3 linked regions of the Canis lupus familiaris genome follow. The protein of the gene in region 2 binds, or shares a complex with, the protein of the main gene of each other region. Links are inferred from orthologs where the notes say so. Each region holds a gene or a part of one and is shown on either strand. Other genes may lie near its edges. The genes, in order: BMP7, NOG and BMP2.

The links.
Region 1: the proteins of NOG (region 2) and BMP7 are in contact, whole or in part, in a crystal structure (PDB 1M4U), measured with the Homo sapiens proteins. The link is inferred for Canis lupus familiaris from reciprocal best matches to the Homo sapiens genes NOG and BMP7. Residues at the interface, in NP_005441.1 of Homo sapiens: His29, Tyr30, Leu31, His32, Ile33, Arg34, Pro35, Ala36; in NP_001710.1 of Homo sapiens: Phe365, Pro366, Leu367, Asn368, Ser369, Asn375, Ile378, Val379.
Region 3: the proteins of NOG (region 2) and BMP2 are in contact, whole or in part, in a crystal structure (PDB 7AG0), measured with the Homo sapiens proteins. The link is inferred for Canis lupus familiaris from reciprocal best matches to the Homo sapiens genes NOG and BMP2. Residues at the interface, in NP_005441.1 of Homo sapiens: Ile33, Arg34, Pro35, Ala36, Pro37, Ser38, Asp39, Asn40, Pro42, Leu43, Val44, Asp45, Leu46, Ile47, His49, His199, Arg204, Arg206, Pro219, Ile220, Gln221, Tyr222, Pro223; in NP_001191.1 of Homo sapiens: Trp310, Asp312, Trp313, Val315, Ala316, Pro317, Pro318, Gly319, Tyr320, Ala368, Ile369, Ser370, Met371, Leu372, Tyr373, Lys379, Val380, Val381, Leu382, Lys383, Asn384, Tyr385, Gln386, Met388.

Annotation. Positions count from the first base shown.
Region 1 is NC_049245.1:42,954,842-42,960,867, reverse strand, and holds part of BMP7 (bone morphogenetic protein 7 precursor), read left to right. Parts: intron 1-2,609; coding exon 2,610-2,686; intron 2,687-4,183; coding exon 4,184-4,294; intron 4,295-6,026. UniProt on the Homo sapiens protein: Growth factor of the TGF-beta superfamily that plays important role in various biological processes, including embryogenesis, hematopoiesis, neurogenesis and skeletal morphogenesis.
Region 2 is NC_049230.1:31,413,346-31,418,511, reverse strand, and holds NOG (noggin), read right to left. Parts: upstream 2,531-5,166; 5' UTR 2,446-2,530; coding exon 1,729-2,445; 3' UTR 1,679-1,728; downstream 1-1,678. UniProt on the Homo sapiens protein: Inhibitor of bone morphogenetic proteins (BMP) signaling which is required for growth and patterning of the neural tube and somite. Essential for cartilage morphogenesis and joint formation.
Region 3 is NC_049245.1:15,656,671-15,663,372, forward strand, and holds the start of BMP2 (bone morphogenetic protein 2), read right to left. Parts: upstream 4,481-6,702; 5' UTR 4,406-4,480; coding exon 4,305-4,405; intron 4,011-4,304; coding exon 3,661-4,010; intron 1-3,660. UniProt on the Homo sapiens protein: Growth factor of the TGF-beta superfamily that plays essential roles in many developmental processes, including cardiogenesis, neurogenesis, and osteogenesis. Induces cartilage and bone formation.

The sequences.
Region 1 (6,026 bases), on a different chromosome or scaffold from region 2:
GAGCTGCAAACAGGTGCTCATCTTGGGCCTACACATCTCTGATCGCTGTGCCCTCTGCTGCCCTCCTTCCCTGTCTTCTTCTCCTCCACCCCGTTCTTCTTTCTGTTTCTCCTTCCCACTCTTCCCATTTCTGATTTGTACCTAGCCTTGGGGTAGCCTGGGGGCTGTACCTCCAGGGCTTCTAGGACAGCATAATGTCCAGCAGGCCTCAGAGGAAGCTTCCTGACTTGTGTATGGTCACCACACCACCACTCTCACACCCATTTCATGGATGGGGAAGTTGAGGTCTGGGGAAAGGAATTCAGTAATACCGTTTTTAATCTTACTGTTTCTCATTAACCTAGAAGCCACACAGATAGAAGTCTTATGACTCAGGGGAAAGCAGCAAATGGATGATGGGTGTTTCACTTCTTCCAAACATTGGGTTTGGAAAAAACAGTCATTTACTCCAAATGGTTAAAGAGTGTGTGTAGGAATGAAGTTTGTGTATAGTTTTAACTTTCCCTGGCAGGTGGGCTGGAAGGATAATAATCAGCAGCTTGTTGCTATGAGCTAAGAGGTGTGCTAAACTGATGGGAATGTGCACGGCTGTCCCTGGAGGCACTTCCTCCTCACTCTGCAGATGAGCATCTCAAGGTCTAGGAGAACCAGGGTCTGACTCCAGAGCTGGAGCAGCACCCCCTTACCTGGCCAGACCCCACCTGGGAGCTGGTGTGCTCTGGAGTCTACAGCTGGGCTCCAGCTGACTATCAGCCCCACACTGGGAGGCACCTTTCCAAGTAGGACCCACTGCGTGGTTTGGCTACAAGTCTTAGAAATACCAGTCAGGTGGCTCCAACCACTAGAAAAGCCATTGGCTCACAGTGACGGGGTTGGGTGGACATGAGGGTAGGTTGATCCAGAAAGTCAACAACAGTGAAAGCTTTCAACAGTGAAGGCTTTCTGTCCTTGCTCACCACGTTCAGGCTATGGCTGTAGGTAGTCATCAGGCTCTACTGCTTTTCTATTCCCAGGCAATAGGGGAAAGAGATGAGCATCTTTTCCCATGAGCCTTTCTTAGGAATAAAGAAACTTATTCCGGAAGCCCCCAGCATGCTTTCACCCATGTCCTGTTGGCTTGGATTGTGTCATTTGTTCTTTTTGTTGTTGTTGTTCTTATCTGAACCAATCCTCGCTCTAAGGATAACATATGGGCTGGTGAGCTCAGACCTGGGTTCTGAACTAGTCACTGACAATGGCTGGGGTTGCCATGACCCCCCAGGCCCAAGGAGGGCCACTCACCTGGCCATCTGAGAGAGCTGACCAGGCAGGGGGATCTGGGTGCATCTGGATGCCTCCCAAGTGCAAGTCAGGTAGGCAAGCAACCCTGGTTCATTTCCTTGGCTTTCCTCTTCATCCTGCAAAGAGTTGTCCTTGTGTTCCTCACCCACTGGTGTTCATTACCTTCTGGGATGCTTGAGCCTGGAGGGATCACAGCAGGGCACAGAAGCTGAGGCATTGACGTCTCCTGTATTTGTGTGTTAACTACACAAATACTGGTGGACACTGGGCCTTGGGGATCCAATGGTAACCTCCCAAAACCTTTTAGAAGAGGCAACATTTGAGGTGAGGCTTGAATATCCAGTAGAGCCAGACATACAAAGATTACGAGAAGGAGCATTTCAGGTAGATGAAACAGCAAGTGCAAAAGCCCTGATAGGAACAGACTTGACAGTACATTCACAGCACAGAAAGAAGGCTGTGGCCACATAGGGGCTTACAGGCCAAGGGCAGGAGTTGGGACATTGCTCTAAGCATGATAGAAAGCCCCTAGAAAGTTTTAGGTGGAGGAAAGACAAGTCATGAGTAAGGAAAAAAAAACCATCCCCATAACCCCATAGCTACAGGGTAGAAGACGGTGCAGGAGCACCAGAGTATGTGTGTGTGTGCGTCTGTCTGTCTCTGTGTGTGTCTGTGTGAGAGTGACAGAGAGACGAAGGGCAGAGCTTTCTACATGTTTACAAGTGCTCAAGCCCTAACGCAGATGCCTGCGAACCTTACATACTTCTGGAAAACCCCAGTCATAGTTTTCACTCCTCAGAAAAACCTAAGTAGTGTGTTTCTCTGGGAGGTCAATGGGATGTGAGTTTCTGCATTTCTTCCTGGCAGTGGGGTCTTTGTCCCAGGCCCTGGCTGTGCCCCTTTTGCCCTTTGAAAGAGGGGTGAGCATCGTGAGGTGGGCTGGCCTCAGCAGCTGAGGGCAGACCCCTCTGAGCAGGCTTCTGCAGCCAGCATGGTGGCACGTGGCTATAGTTTGGTTCCTATGTGGAACCCAGGCAGAGGTCAGCCTCCAAACAACGCACATGTACAAAAAAAGCCAATGTCCACAGAAGGATCCAGAGCATACTAGGAGCTAACATGGCGCAAGAGGGATGGGGACGTTGGTGCAGAGGCCATTTGCTAAGGATGGAAATGAGTTTCAAGGCTATAGGAACTGGAATGGCTTTCATGTCAGGAAGGTCACATTCTAGCTGAGTTCAACCGTGCTCACACCACTGCCTTAGATGGAGGGAACCTTAATATGTGTGTGTGTTTTCTCTCCCCCGTGCCTCTGTCTCCCACCAATGCAGAAAACAGCAGCAGCGACCAGAGGCAGGCCTGCAAGAAGCACGAACTGTACGTCAGCTTCCGCGATCTGGGCTGGCAGGTAAGGACGGGTGGCCGGATCTGCCCCGATGGTGGGGGCTCTGGTGTGGGCTTCCTCGTGCCCCCCGCCCAAGGCAGTGGGGCTGGGTCCCATGTGTGCACTGAGTCACGTTTCTCATCTACTTCAGTTCGGACTCCAGTGTCAGGTGTCCTAACTAGGGTAGAGAATTGAGGTTAAGGATGCAGGGATGCCTCATGACACCCAGGAGCAGAAATGTGGTGGAGACTCATGCTAGAACCAGGAGCCCAAACACTTTGAACCCTAAGCCCCATGCTACATGTGAACTTCCATCTCCACCCTGCGGCTGGCTACTTCTCTCAGGTGGGGCCCATGCCCTAGAACTCAGCTGCTGCAGGGCCGGCTCCCACCCTCCACCCTGTCTGTCCCTCCTTCCCTTCCATGATTCAGATCCCAGGGCAGGGACTGATTGGCCTACCTGGGGTCAGGGGCTTGATCCTGAACCAGTCAGCTGTTTTGGGGATGGGATCATATCATAGGACCATGACTGCTCCTTCCAGAACCATTTGGATGGAATGGGGCGAAGGGCAAGAGTGAATCCTGGGACAGGCATGAGGGTCATACAGTCTAATGACTATTTAGGATTATCTGACATTCCGGCTGCTGTTCCAGGCGCTGGAGGTGCCACAGGGAGCATTACCGTGTGCCTGCCCTCGTGGAGCTCAAATAGTCCTAATGGGGTGTTGAGATCACCAAGGCCACTGGTCTTGTTGTTCACTCCTCATTGAGCTTGTGGTTCAGCGAGGGAGTCCAGATGCTTCCCTGGGGATCATGCCCAAGCGCACTATCAGAGCACTTGCGCTCGGGCAGCGTGGAGCCCTCCCGCTGTGCTGACCTCACACTCACGGCTCCCGTGCTTGCATCCTGGTGCTGGAACTGAGCCCCAGACTCCAGCTCCTCTGCGGGAAGAGTCCATGGACTTGAGTCAGGGAGGGGTGGACAGAGTGCTAGAGCAGTATTCCGGTGCTAACCCAGCCCTGACGGCAGACGTGGCCGTGTGCATCCTCCACCGAGCCGCACACGTGCACCAGCGCTGAGCTGGCTCGTCTACATGGGCGCTTAATTCTCGATGTTGTGGGTTATTAGTCTTTCTCCCACGTCCGTGAACTGAGGGGTGGAGCTTTTGTTTGAAGCAAACTGCCAACGCGTAACCACCTAGTAGCGCTGGAGTCGAAGCCACCCTGGTCACACTGGTCTGTGCCGCCTCCCCATAAGGCCCTGCAGGTGTCTCTTCTGGGCCTAGCCCAGCCCAGCCCAGCCCCAGGGTGGTCTTTCCTTCATTTTGCATTCTGTGGGGGACCATGGAAGGGGGTCCTCCATTTCTCATGCTTCTGCAGGACACTCCCCACCCTTGCCGGGATGGTGTGGGCCGGGTCTTTGTCCTCTGTCCTCTGGGAGCACGAGTCTGGGCCGCAGGGTAGGTGGGGGCTTGGGCACGAAGGGTAGGCCCTTGTGGGGCTCACGCTCTGTCCCCTGCAGGACTGGATCATCGCTCCCGAAGGCTATGCCGCTTACTACTGTGAGGGGGAGTGTGCCTTCCCCCTGAACTCCTACATGAACGCCACCAACCACGCCATCGTGCAGACGCTGGTGAGTGGGGCCTGCGTGCCGTCTGGGCATGCTCCGCTCGGTGGGGTGACGGCAGGGTCTGGTGGCCCTGCCCAGCTGCTCCTCCAGGCTGGGGCCCTGACTTTCCGCGGGCCCTGGGCACTCCTCCTGTCATAGGCCCCTTCCTCCGTTAAAAAAAAAAAAGAGAGATTAAAGATGTTATTTTACAACAGCATTGGCATAAAGATATGTATCATCCCCGACCCTCAAGTTCATGTATTTCTCCCCATTCTGGAAGAAATAAGCACAGTTTCAGGGGCTCCCAAAGGTGTCTTGGATAATGGTCACTGTGGCTAATGGTGAGGTCAGTCCTGGCCCTGCCTCTCTGGGCGGCTGTTCTTAGTTGACCACACATCTGCTCCGCCCCCATAGGTGCCCCCGCATCCCCGAGAGTCGGGGCGTCCCTGGGTTCAGACCAGCCTGAGAGCCTGTCCACTCCCCAAACTCATGTCTTTGCCTCCTAGCCTTAAACTTTGGGGGGTCAGCCACCCAAGGGTGTCTGCTGAGCATCTTCTGCAGGTAAACCTGCCCTGGGAGCTGAGGGCATTGCAGGGAACAGCACAGACCTGGTCCCTGCCTTCAGGGCCTCAGTTTCCAGGGAGAGAAGCAATCAGGTGAACAGAGGATGCGGGAGAGGAGTAAGCAGGACAGCGAGGTGGGGCAGGGCGGGGGCTGTTTCAGGTCGAACTTCCATGGGGTCACTGGAGGGTTCAGTGTGATAAGAAGATAGGCTTTTAACAGGATGCACAGCCCTGGCGACCCTTGGTAGAAGTGGTTTTTACTACTCTACCGAAAATATCAGTTGTAATAAAAATTAGGGACTTGGCTCTTCTCCTTAGAATCTGAGGCTCAGGGATCTTGATTATCTAGCTCCCTGCCAGGAACATTATTGAGGCCTTTCCCTGGCTTGAATGCTCCTGGTGACAGAGAGCTCATTACCCAGGGCCATCCCCTCAGTCCTACAGTTCTGTTTGTTCTGAAACTTTTTTGGCTTCTTTTAAAGGTTTAGTGGTAGAGTTGGTACTGACCCACGTGTTATGTCTTGGAGAAAAAGCTCCCCTGTTCCTTTCATTTGGACCATGCTCTGCCCTTCCGAGGGAAGGCTTCTTTTTTAGCCATGCTTTTCCAAGGCCCTTCCTTGGAAAGGAAGGTAAATTCTGAAGCCCTGCTCAGGATTGAAATGAATAATGCCCCCAACCTGTTCCTTGGGCCAGGCCTGTTCCCCTGTGCCCGCATGCCCCCTCAGGCCCTGCCTTGGTGGCCCCTGGGGGGTGCCAGGGGGGTCTCCCAGGCTACCAGGGCACACCTCTACCCTCCGACCCCTGCTTCATGGCCCATGTAGCGGGAGCCTGGCTGTCCCCTGATCACCTACTTAGTCTGCGTGTCACAAGAGAGCCCTGGGATCAGAACGGGAGTTCTGATTATTCTGAAAAAGAAGTTCTGTGGTCATGTTTAAAAAGGGGGAAGGGAAGAAAAAATAAAATAAGGTAAAAATTGAGAGGGAGACAAACCATAAGAGATGCCGAGCTCTAGGAAACAAACTGAGGGCCGCTGGAGGGGAGGGTGGTGGGCGGCTGGGGTAACTGGGGGACGGGCATTAAGGAGGGCAGGTGATGTGATGAGCACTGGGTGTTGTTTGCACCTGATGAATCACAAAATTCTACCTCTGAAACAACAACAACAAAAAAGCTGATGGGGGTGGGAATCCTTGCCT
Region 2 (5,166 bases):
CCCGCCCCGAGAAGTTGGCTCTTCCAGGGGTGGGGTGACGGCGATGTTTTGCACGTCCCTTCGGGCGGCAGCCCACCTCCTGCCCCTCTCTAGCCCCCCAGCTCAAGGGTCCCGATTCTGAGTTCTCCTCCCTCCTCCCCACCCCCAAGTGGAGTCAGTGTCCGGAGCGGGGGGCGCACCCCATTCCCAAATGCGGATTGCCCCCCCTTCCCCGAAATCTTGACCCTCAGTGTCCTCCTTAGGTTCCCGGGGCGGGGTGGGGGTGGGGGTGGGGGTGGGGGAGGCGAATGTCAAATCACCCAGCTATGCCAGCAATTCCGGCCGAGGGCCTGGGGTTTTGGGGGCTCCGACCTGCAAGATTCCGGAGCCTGAGTGTGTGGATTCCAAAGGACTGGATCCCATAGCTAGCATCACCGCAGCTTCCGGGCGTGCAAAGGGTTAACACCGGCTGGTTATTGATGGGGTGGGGGGGGGGAGCGGTGCGAGGCGGGAGGGGTGACGGGATCTGGGTGGGCGCGCTCTGATCTCTCCCACCACCAACCCCCCCCCCCCCCATTCCTCGGGGGTCAAGTTTCAGCGGCACTCCGCCCCCAGGGTAGGTGTGAAAGACACGTGTCCCCATTGTGAAGGGCCTGTCAGGCAGGACAAAGCGGCCGCCCACCCTCCCCCCCCGCCCCTCAGCCCAGCCTGGGGTCAGCTCCAGGGGGCCGGCTGGGTGTCGAGGTCAGGACGGGCCCGAGCTTTGGTGACACAGGGAGAAAAAGCTGGGACACTGGGCAGAGGCCACGTGATGCTCAAGTGAGGGGTTTGAGAATAACCCTCTCCCCCCCCCTCCCACCCACCCCCAGAAGGAAAAACTGAGCGGTCATCTCCATCACACCCCAAGAGGGGATGAGCCCCTTCTCCCAACAGGCGTAGTAAGCACAGCGGCACCCCTACCCACCCCCTCCAGCCCCCACACCCCCCATCAATCACCAACACAGAGAATCGCAGTGTCGAGAGCGCAGTCGATTTTAGTGGTTTTCTTTAATCCTGCTCTGCACTTCTTTCTCATTTACTACACGGGATATTATAAAGAATAAATAGCAGATACTCTTAATTTACAATGATTAGTCATTCCATTTGTTCTCTATATTTACAATAACTGTAAAATAACATTGAACTCTATAGCTTCTTCGAGGTCCAAGGAAAACCAAAACACTTTCCGAAGAATGGAAAATAGCTTTTTAAAAGTCCTTCTACAAAAGTTCTCCCCTCTCTTTTTGTACTTTAAGAAAAAATAACTTTTCCCCCCTGCTTCGCCATGCGAAGGGCACTGGAATATAAATAGCAGGTTAACATTATTAGCGACAACCAGAATAAGTCTCTCTTTGCTCTGTTCTTTTTTTTTTTCCTTTTGCTTATTTTTTTTTTAAAAATACAGTAGAAGCCGGTAACTTTTAACGTATAATACTGACCTTTTAATAAGTAAATTAAAACTGGGACCGTATATACACACACATATACATTCCTACACAGTTAAACAGTGCATTACATGAACCAGAAAGCTAGGTCTCTGTAGCCAGAAAAAAAAAAAAAAAAAAAAAAAGTTCATTGAATCCCCCCCCTCCCCGCCTCGCGAGAGGGTGGTGGAACTGGTTGGAGACGGTGCGGAGGCGGGCGGTGGGGGGGGGGGGGCGTCGGTGGGGTTCCATCCATTGTCCGGGTGCGGGGAGGGGGCCCCGAGTTCTAGCACGAGCACTTGCACTCGGAAATGATGGGGTACTGGATGGGAATCCAGCCGCAGCGCTGGCCCCCGCGCCGCTGACAGCGCCACCGCAGCACCGTGAGGTGCACGGACTTGGACGGCTTGCACACCATGCCCTCGGGCACCGAGCACGAGCGCTTGCTGAAGCAGCTGCCCACCTTCACGTAGCGCGGCCAGAAGCGGCTGCCCAGGTCGTTCCACGCGTACAACACCGGGCAGAAGGTCTGCGACCACAGCCACATCTGTAACTTCCTCCGCAGCTTCTTGCTCAGGCGCTGCTTCTTGCCCGGGGCCAAGCCCTCGGAGAACTCCAGCCCTTTGATCTCGCTCGGCATGGCCCCCGACGGCCGCTGCCGCAGCAGCTGGTCCAGCTCGGCCAGGTCCTCGGCGCCCCCGGCCGCGCCCGCGCCCGCGCCCGCGCCCCCGCCCCCGCCGGGCCGCTCCTCGGGGGGCGAGGTGGCCATGAAGCCCGGGTCGTAGTGGCCCCCGAGCAGCGAGCGCAGCAGCGTCTCGTTCAGATCCTTCTCCTTGGGGTCAAAGATAGGGTCCGGGTGCTCGATGAGGTCCACCAGGGGCAGGTTGTCGCTGGGGGCCGGGCGGATGTGGAGGTAGTGCTGGCCGCCGGCCGGTGCCGCCCGCAGCCCCAGGACCACCACCAGGGCGTAGAGGGTGACCCCCAGGCTGGGGCAGCGCTCCATGCCTCCGGCGCGCCCGGGGCTGCCGCCGCGTCCGCGTCCCCCGAGGAGAGCACTCCCCGGCCCTCCGGAGGCGGCTCACCCGCGGCTGGGCGGGCGCAGGGCCGGCAGCATGAGGCGCCGGGAGAGCCCTTCGCGCGGCGCCGGCTCCCACCGGGGCGGGCGGGAGGCGGCGCACGGGTCGGCCGCGGCTGCTCCGCCGGGTCTACTGGGGCCGGCGGCCGCGGCGGGGCGTCCGCGGGGACTCCAGGGCGCCGGCGGGCGCGGGGGGCGCCGGCTCCTCGCTGCTCCCGGGCGGCGGCGCGGGGCGCGGGGCGCGGGGCGCGGGGCGCGGGCGCGGGCGCGGGGCGCGGGGCCGAGCCGCCCTCCCCTCCTCCTCCTCCTCCGCTCGCCGCGGTCGTCCCGCCGCCCGGGGCAGCGCGGCTGGCGCAGCGGGTCCGGGGCGCGTCCCTCCGCCTGCTCGGGGCTCCGCGGCCGGCTCTGCCAGGCGGACTCCAGCGGCGGCGGCGGCGGCGGCGTCCGCGCACGTTGGCACCGGTTTGTCTGTCTCGCAGGGTCCAAGCCTTTAAATTTCCTGCACTTTCAGCTCCATCACCATGGAAACCACTGACTCTCTCGGCGTTGCCCCCTCCCCCTCCTTCCCCCCAAACAACAACCCCACCCCCCACTTCTCCACCCCCGAGGAGCCGGAGCGGCACAGGCTCCGGGGGAAGCCGCCTGCACTCGCCGCGGCGGCGGCTTCGGCAGCGCCCAGGGCCGTGCCCCGCCGGACCCAGATGCCCCGGGAGGCCGACAGCCCGGCTGCCCGCCGGAGCTCACAGGCGGCGGCGGCGGCGGCGGCGGCGGCGGCGGCGGCGGCGGCGGCGGCGGCGGCAGCGGCGGTGGCGGCGGCGGTGGCGCTTGGCAGGTCTCCGCGCAATTTTCTCTCTCCCCCACCACCCACCCCCCTTCTCCTCCTCCTGCAAAATGCACCGCCCCCCTCCTTTCTCCTGGAGCAATGCAACTGGGGCTCTAGGCGCCCCGCCAGGGCCAGTCCTGGGGAAAGCTCGCGGCGGCGCTGGAGCCGGGCTGGAGGGTGCAGGGCCGGTTGTGGGGGGTGCTCGAGGTGGGGCTGTGAGGGGTCCCGCTAGCTGGGTGCTTTGCACTGGGAGGGCAGCCGCGGGGCGGTGCCGGGGGCTCGTTCCTCGGTGCAGAGTCCGGCGCAAGGAATTTCTCCATGTGCACGGAGCTTTTTCCCCGGGCGCGTCTCGCCTTCCTCTCTCCGGAGCTGGCTCTGAGTCCCCTCCCCCCAGCGCGTACACACACACACACACACACACACACACACACACACACACACACACACTTTGAGCAGGACTCCGAGAGCCGCAGCGTTGCGCAGCGTGATGTAATTCCTAGGAAGCACTCCTGCCCGTCTGTTACTCGGGCCCACGAGGGGGGTCCGCTCCTCGCCCTCCTCCTCCTCCTCCTCCTCCTCCTCCTCCTCCTCCTCCTCCTCCTCCTTGGCCGGGTCCTGCACCCTGAGTGGCCGAGCTGCAGGGGCGCGTCCGGCTCGCCTGCGGCTCCCCTAGCCGGCCGGGTTCCGCGCCGCCGCTGCTCGGCTCCCTGGGGGCGGCGCGCCCTCTGCTGGCGCCCGGCGAGTCCTGCACCTGGCGCTGGCGGGGGCGGCCCCGCGAGGTGGGTTCGCCTGCGGTCCGCCCGGCCCAGCTCCGCTTCTGCTCGCGTGTCCGTGTCATAGTGTGTGCGTGCGCGCGCGCGCTGCGGGGGCCTGGACTGCTCGGGTCTGTGCTCTCCAAGCTTTCCAGGCCCTCGGTGTAAACGAACTTCCTGAGATTCCTCCAGACGCCCCTCAAATGTCACAAGACTATAGGGCACCCTCTGTCTGCGGCCGCTAAATCGGCCTCAGTGGGCGAGAGCGGAGACCTAAAACTTAAGAAAGGTGACCTGGCAGCAGGGGGATCTGAGTCCTGGCTGCGGTCTGCCCCCCTATGTTAACCTCGGACAAGCCCCTTTTGTGGCACCATGTTCCTTTACTTTCTGCATTTAGTGACACCACTACATTCCTCTTCCAGCCCTACCTTTCCATGATCCTAAATAAACTTGCATGGTGCTTTCTGTTTGCAAAGGGGTGTCTCTTTGATGGGAGAGGGATGTTGAAATGACACTTCTAGTTAATTTCCCCTTGGATGAGGACCTGAATCTAAGCTTTGAAACTCAAACTTGGTTTCCTTTGTGGTGGATGCGATTGGAGTCTGGAGAAAGCTGGAGAAGAAGGAGTTGGAGAAGAGGAAGCCAGTAATCACCAGCAGCACTCCATGGAGTGGGCTTAGGAGGTCTCACTTCTAGTGACAGCCTAAATCACTCTACTTTCTTTCCCCAGAGATCTGTTTCTTCCTTTTAACCTGTGTTGTCTGTGCCCCCCCCCACCCCTGCCCATGAATTTATCATCTGCCTAAGGAAGTAAACACACTGTGTTTCACAGGAGAGTCTTTCCAAAAAACCTCAGCTGTTGGGAGGGATGGGCCAGTCTCAGCTGAAAACATTTTCTTAAACATTCTCAAATTTTCAAGCCTGCAAACACACACACACACACACACACACACACACACACACACAATGACATGGGGATACTGGACACAATAACAACCCAAATTGATTTGATTGGGAAATGATGTGCGATTAGAACCCAGCACACAGGAGGCTCTCACGCCACATCCCTTTCTT
Region 3 (6,702 bases), on a different chromosome or scaffold from region 2:
CCACAGAGCACCTGGGTGGCTCAGTGGTCGAGTGCCTGCCTTCGGCTTAGGTCATGATTCCAGGGTCCTGGGATTGAGTCCCACTGGACCTCCCAACTCCATTTCAGGGAGCCTGCTTCTCCCTCTGCCTGTGTCTCTGCCTCTCTCTCTCTCTCTCTCTCTCTCTCTCTGTCTCTCATGAATAAATAAAGTCTTTTAAAAAATAAATAAATACATAAGACAACTACCACTACCGAGCAGATGCCGTAGCCAACCAGTAAAACTGGATGTCACTGCCCTGAAATGAATGGAAAGTGCCTGAGAATAAGAAACAATATTTTCTAGAATATAAAATAATGGCTAGAGAATTAATATTACCAGGGAGAAAAAATATAAAATTAAAAGGTTACAAGGAAACAGTTTTTTATTTTTTTAAATAAAAAACAACAAAAGGCAACTGAAGGAACAGTACTGTCATCCTCAAGAACCCTGATCTGGCTTCTGCCCACCCTTAACTCCAACACCTTTGGAACGATCATGTGCCCGTTTACTGTCCTTTTACTACTTAGTGAAATACACAAAGGGCAAGTCTCAAAGAAGACAAGATAGCTCAATGAGAAGGGATTAAGGAAGGAGACAGAGGAACGGCCAAAAGAGTAGAGAACAGATAATATTAGTCCAAGAACAATCGTTGAGCATCAGAGCCTCGACCCCCAAAGACTTCCAAAGAGAATGCCTGTTTTACTTGCTGGGACCCTTCTCAGTGACACTGAACGACCCGGGGATACTAGGGAAGCACATCAAGTAAATACTGCTTTGGGGGGGTGCCTGTGTCCAAATCCTTTGCTTACACTGGGCATTTGTGATACAAGTTCTCTCTCCCAGGGCATCAGTTGCTTCTTGAACTCTCCCATTATACGGATATTTTCGTGGTAATTACATTTGTGGGAAAAGGGTTATTTTCTATTCAAAGGCTTTAGTCAGGGAGGCAAATAATTCCATTGTTCATTAAAACGAAGACTGTGTCCTTCAGAGTCTGGAGAGCAAACAGATGGTCCTTCTATATTCTACTCTGACAGGAGAACATAAAGGCTTTTTGCAGGGCCGGTGAAGTCAACCAATTTCAAGGTGTTTTTCAGTACAGCAAAGCACAGAACACTCCTTCCAGGAGGAGGAGTGATTTTTCTTTCCTCAGTGGCAGCTGCGAAAGGTCTATGTGCGGCCAAAGAACTTTTTAATGACTGGAGGAAGAAAACTGTTGGAGTACTTGGGTTCTCCTAAGGGACAAGTACTGTCCAGAAGACTAGACAAAGTTTAATAGGAGAAATGACAACCGATCATTCTGTTTCAGATCACCTACCATGCGGTCCCATTATCTTCACACAGTGGTTGATTATCTGATAACCATGGTATCTCTGGTCTTGTAATTTCACCAAATCACCCAGATTCCACCCACAAATGAAACCAACAACAGGTAATTCTTGGAATCAGGCCCTTAGTTCTCTACCAAACACATGCCCATTAAGGCTGCAGGAGCCAAGTTCTGGTCTTAAGCTAGCTGCCTTAATCACATGATTTATTAAAAGATTTTTAGTGCCATGCATGGCACAAGGATCTTTATAAAAAGCAAATCCTGGGTTACACAAAAATGAAACGGTCTTCAAAATATGCATGATGTGGCCTAAGAATGATATGCTAGTCATAACAAGAACAGAAATGGATGTGATGAAATTTGAGGCAAAAATTACATGGCTTTTTCTATCATCTAACTGCACTGAGATCTGACGTTACTGTAAGTTGACTTTAAGCAGGTTGATAATTTCTCTACTGCTCTGCACATAACTTTCATACTTTTAAAGTTATAAATTCTGACTTATAAACTCAAGCACGCTATTTAGGTTAAAATAACACACTCAAATAATTTGTAGCCTGTTTAGTTTTGATCAAGCCACTCCTAGAGGAAAGAGAAATACACAGACTCCACTGACGGGATCCTCATGCAGCTGAATGTTTTAGGTGTCAGACGACTTAAGTGTTCCTCCTTTAAGTTATGAGAGACACACAGTACCTTCCTAGCCTTTAAAATAATTAAGAGTGGTTCCAGGCTAAATTTCCAGGAGAGGTGGCTGAAATAGCTGCTCTTGCTACTTTTCTATCCAGAAAAATAATTCTTATCAGCATCAGCTGGGAATGATGAGCTGCATCTACTACAATCATTCCAAGATTATGTTGACAGAGCATATAGGAGTGAAAACATTTCTACATATGACAACAGACAACTTCTGCTTCTCAGCGAACGAATCCTGAAGGAGTAGAAGGATGCCTTCTGTGCTTTCTCATGGGAGCTCTACTGCAAAAAAGCACCTCACTTGGAAATGTGCTGGAAAATGATGGATTACGATCAATGGGTTATCAATCCCGTGTCCCTTCACAGTGTACAACTGCTTTGATGAAGAAGTACCTTTGGTTACGCCACCTGCCTTTAGGACTTCTTCCCAACACTAAGTGCTGTTCTCACAAGTGTAGTCACCCTTCACACTGAGAGAAAATAGGTAGCTGTAACAGTTCTTATTTGTTTATGTTAGAGAATAGATTTCTGCCTGAAATTTACCACCTCGAAGCAAGGCAAGAAAATGGGAACTTCACTCCCGATTCCCCAATAATCTACAAGTGACTGCTCTGTGATACACAGCTTTGGAGATTTCTCTAGAACTTGATGAAACCCGTGCTCTATTTGGAATGCATTAAGCCAAAAGGGTATTTAAAAGTGTAGAAAAAGAACTAAAGTGGAACATAAAATTTTTGACTAATTGATCCAAGAACTTGGGTACAACAGATGTCAATAGCTTCTCTTGGACATTTCAAATCCACTAAATGCTGTTCTAATGAAACAAGCAGAAATAGCGTACCTTAGGAAAACCACATCCAGTATCATAAAAGAAAAAAAAAAAATCCACATTTCAATGCACATGGAGAAAAAAAAAAAAAGAACCATCAGGCAGCTGCTGCAAAAGCTTTTATCTGAAGGCTTGCCTTGTCTCTAAGAGGGAGTTCATCTCAGATTTAAGCACAAAACAAGAAAGTCATTGTGGAAACAATAAGATTGATTGTGGGATTGATCTCTCACGGGGATTAGATAGGGATTCGAAATCTTCCAAACCAGGCCCAGATCAACTGTAAATTAGAAAGACTTTGGGGCCCCTGGCTTTGATTCTTCAATAGTATCTCTGAAAAGTCTGTCCTTGGCTGTGTCTAGCCTGAAACCCCAGCTGAAGCAGGAGAAACAGATTTACAGGGCAAAAGGGCTTCCAAACAGACATAAAGAGATCCCAATCTGCCCCCCTCCTTTTCATTCTTCCCCTATGAAATTCTTGCACATTTAGCTGACTAGGGGCATGCCTTTTGCCCTCATCTTCCCCATCACTTGATTTCTCTCCAGTTCCTGGAGGAGGAGTCGCTCTCCTGGCTGCAGGCCAGGAAAAGGGTGCAGATTGACCAAAGGGGAATCCCTGGCTCCCTCGCCACACAGGCAGCGCGGTAAAGCCAGGTTCGGTTCGGAAAGGTTCTTACAAAGGCAAGAACTGCCTTCCCAGGGATGCCAACAGTCGGCCCACAGTGGGGAGCTTCTGGAGGGGACTCTCCGCGCGCATCTCGGCCCCCACGCTCTGCTCCACGCCTCACCTTCGTGGTGGAAGCTGCGCACGGTGTTGGCCAGGCTGGCTGCCCTCTCCAGCCGGTGGTCCGGGGCCGGTGCGCCCGGCTGGCCCGAGTGCCGGCGGTACAGGTCCAGCATGTAGGGGGGCACCACGGCGTCCCTGCTGGGGGTGGGTCTCCGCTTCAGGCCGAACATGCTGAGCAGCCGCAACTCGAACTCGCTCAGGACTTCGTCCGAGGGCTGGGACGGGGAGCGGCCAGGAGATGCCGCGAACTTCCTCCGGCCCAGCTCCGTAATGAGACCGGCCGCGCCGCCCAGGAGGACCTGGGGAAGCAGCAACGCTAGAAGACAGCGGGTCCCGGCCACCATGGTCGACCTGCGGACAGGGCCGACGTGAGTCACCGAGTTCCCCGCCCAATCCTCTCCCCGCCCTCGCGTCCCGGGGCTCCCGCTCCGGCCGCTGCCTCCCCCTCCAGGGTGCCCACCTGGTGTGCAATACTCGCGGGGATACTTCAAAGGTCTTAAGCTCGAACGTTTGGGAGAATGGAAAGCCCCTAGTTCCTGAGCCTGAAGGCTCCCCCCCCTTCCAACTCACTCTCATCCATCCGGCACGATTTGCGCGCGCGCGCGCACACACACACACACACCCCACCAGCGTCAAGACTGTCACCTTTCTTCTGTGACACTCGCGCTGACAGCCCGTGCAGGGAACCTGGGGAAACCACCGCTTGGTCTGACACCTCCCGGATCGCTAAACAAACCCAAACACATTGCCCAGCGCTGGCTTGCATATAAACACGCACGGATGGTGCATGTGACTTCCTTACAGGCACCGTATAGAACTTCCTGATACACACATACACTCACACTCTCTCTCGCTCCCGCCCTCCCGCCCTCCCTCTGACTTCCAGACCCAGTAAACTCAGGGCCACAACTTCCGAAGCCACTTGCAACTTGTGGCCCACGCCTTTAACCTCAGAGGTGTCAGGACAGGGCCACCCCAGCCCCGAACCCCCGCCCCATGCAGTCCAGACACACATACATATTCCTCCAGTTACATAAATAATACCTATTCGGTCACGTGTCACCAGAAGGTGGCATTTAAGTACTGCCCCCCTCGCATTCCTGGCAACAAACAGGGAGAACCCCAACTTCTAGTATTTTCCTAAATGGGACTTGGCTCTGAGTAGAGAGCAGGTCTCCCTGAGAAACTTGAAGAAGGGAGAGAAGATGGCCATGGCAGGGCGCAAAGGTTGGCGACTAACGGGTGAAATCCAGAGGCCACCCTCTAGATTGGGCTTCTTCGAGGTTTTTTTTTTTTTTTTTTTTAATCATCTAAGTGTTAACAGCCCTAATAAAATACTGAGAAGAGAGAAGGGAGGAGGGGCGGAAGAGCGCGAGCCGGGAGGGCCAGGCTCGCCGGGGCGGTCTGGTGGGGGCATCGCCGCAGGGGCTCGGCAGCACGTGGACCCGGAGGGGGTCTGTTTACGTCCGCCCGGCCCGGCCCGGCCCCAGGAGCCGCTCGCCCTCGGCGGCCGCCCGCGCCCCGCGCCCCGCCCCTACCCCCTACCCCGTACCCCCACCCCAGCCCGGGGCCCTCGTCCCCTACCTTTAGGAGACCGCCGACCGTCTAAGAAGCACGCGGGGGCACGTCCATTGAAAGAGCCTCCACATGGAAAAAGCTCTGGTCCAAGGACCTGGCGCAGGGACCCGGTTCCCTCGGGCCGCCGCCGCCGCCGCCGCCGCCGCCTCCTCCCGCCGCCGGGCACCGCGGCCCCGGGTCTGGCCCCGCGGAGCAGTGGGGCGGCGCGGGCGCGGGGTCCGGGCGCGGGGTCCGGGCGCGGGGTCCGGGCGGCGAGGCCGGCTCCGCAGGGGCCAAGGCACCGGCGCGAAGCGGGAGCGCAAGCTATTCTCCCTGCAAGTTCAACAAGTCTCCAGCCAAGTGCTGACACACAACAACAGCGAGCAGGGGGAGGAGGACGGGGCAGGCGAGGGAAGGGACAGGGCAGAAGCCGGTGCGTCGTCGTCCTCAGGCACCGGCGCCCGCGGGACGCGGGGCCCGGCGCGGGGGCCGAGGGTCGGGCGCTCCCTCCGCGCTAGCGCCGCCGCGGCCCGTGGCTCGGGGCGGCCATCCTGGGCGACGCCGGGTGCGGGGAAGGGCGCAGCGGCGGTCTCGGGGCCGGGCGGGGGGCGCCCCCGCATCACTCGGCCTCGCTCCAGCGCAGCCCCGCCGGCGCCCGCCGGCCGATCGCCCCGCGGCTCCGGCGCCCCGGCGTCCTCGGGCGCATTCTCCGGCGAGGCGAGGCGAGGCGAGGCGAGGCGAGGCGGCGAGGCGGGTCCCGGGCGGCCGAGGCGCGCGGCCGCGCTCTCCCCTCGCGGCAGCCCCCGGGCCAGACTGCGCTGCGCTCCGGGGCCGGCCCGGGGTCCGCTCACGCGTCGGCCGGCGCGTCGCGGGCCCCCACGCTCGGGCGGCGCGGGCTCGGCATCGCGGCGCTCGGGCTGGGCTCGCGGCTGCGCGGCGCCGTGCGCGCGGCTCCCCGGCTCCGGCGCGGCCCGGGCGGCCGAGGCCACGGCGCAGGGGCGCGCTCGGCCGGGCGCTCCAGCCCGCGCGGGGTGAGCGGCGCGCGGCGGCGGCGGCGGCGGCGGCGGCGGCGGCGGCGGCGGAGCAGCCCCCGTAGTCCGCGACGCGCTGGCCGCGAGGTCGGCGGGTCGCGGCGCAGCCTGCGGCGGCGGGCGTCCGGCGGCGGCTGCCAGTCCCCGGCGGGGTGTGGGAAGCGGAGCGGCGGGCGCAGCGCGAGCCGGGCGCAGGCGGCGGGGCGAGGACTCCGGCGGCGGCGCCGTGGCGCGGCGCTCGCGGCTTTTAAAGGGGACGCAGCCTGCCTGCAGCCTCCGTCTCCGCGGAGGCCGGACACCTCCCCCTCGGCGGCGCGGCTCGCCGGGGATCCCCGAGCGGGCGGGAGCCGGAGCGGGAGCGGGAGCGGGAGCGGGAGCGGCGCGCAGGGGTGTGGACGGCGCGCCGGGGCAGCCGCGGCGGGGTGGGGCCGAGGGCGGGGCCGCGGGGCCGCCGA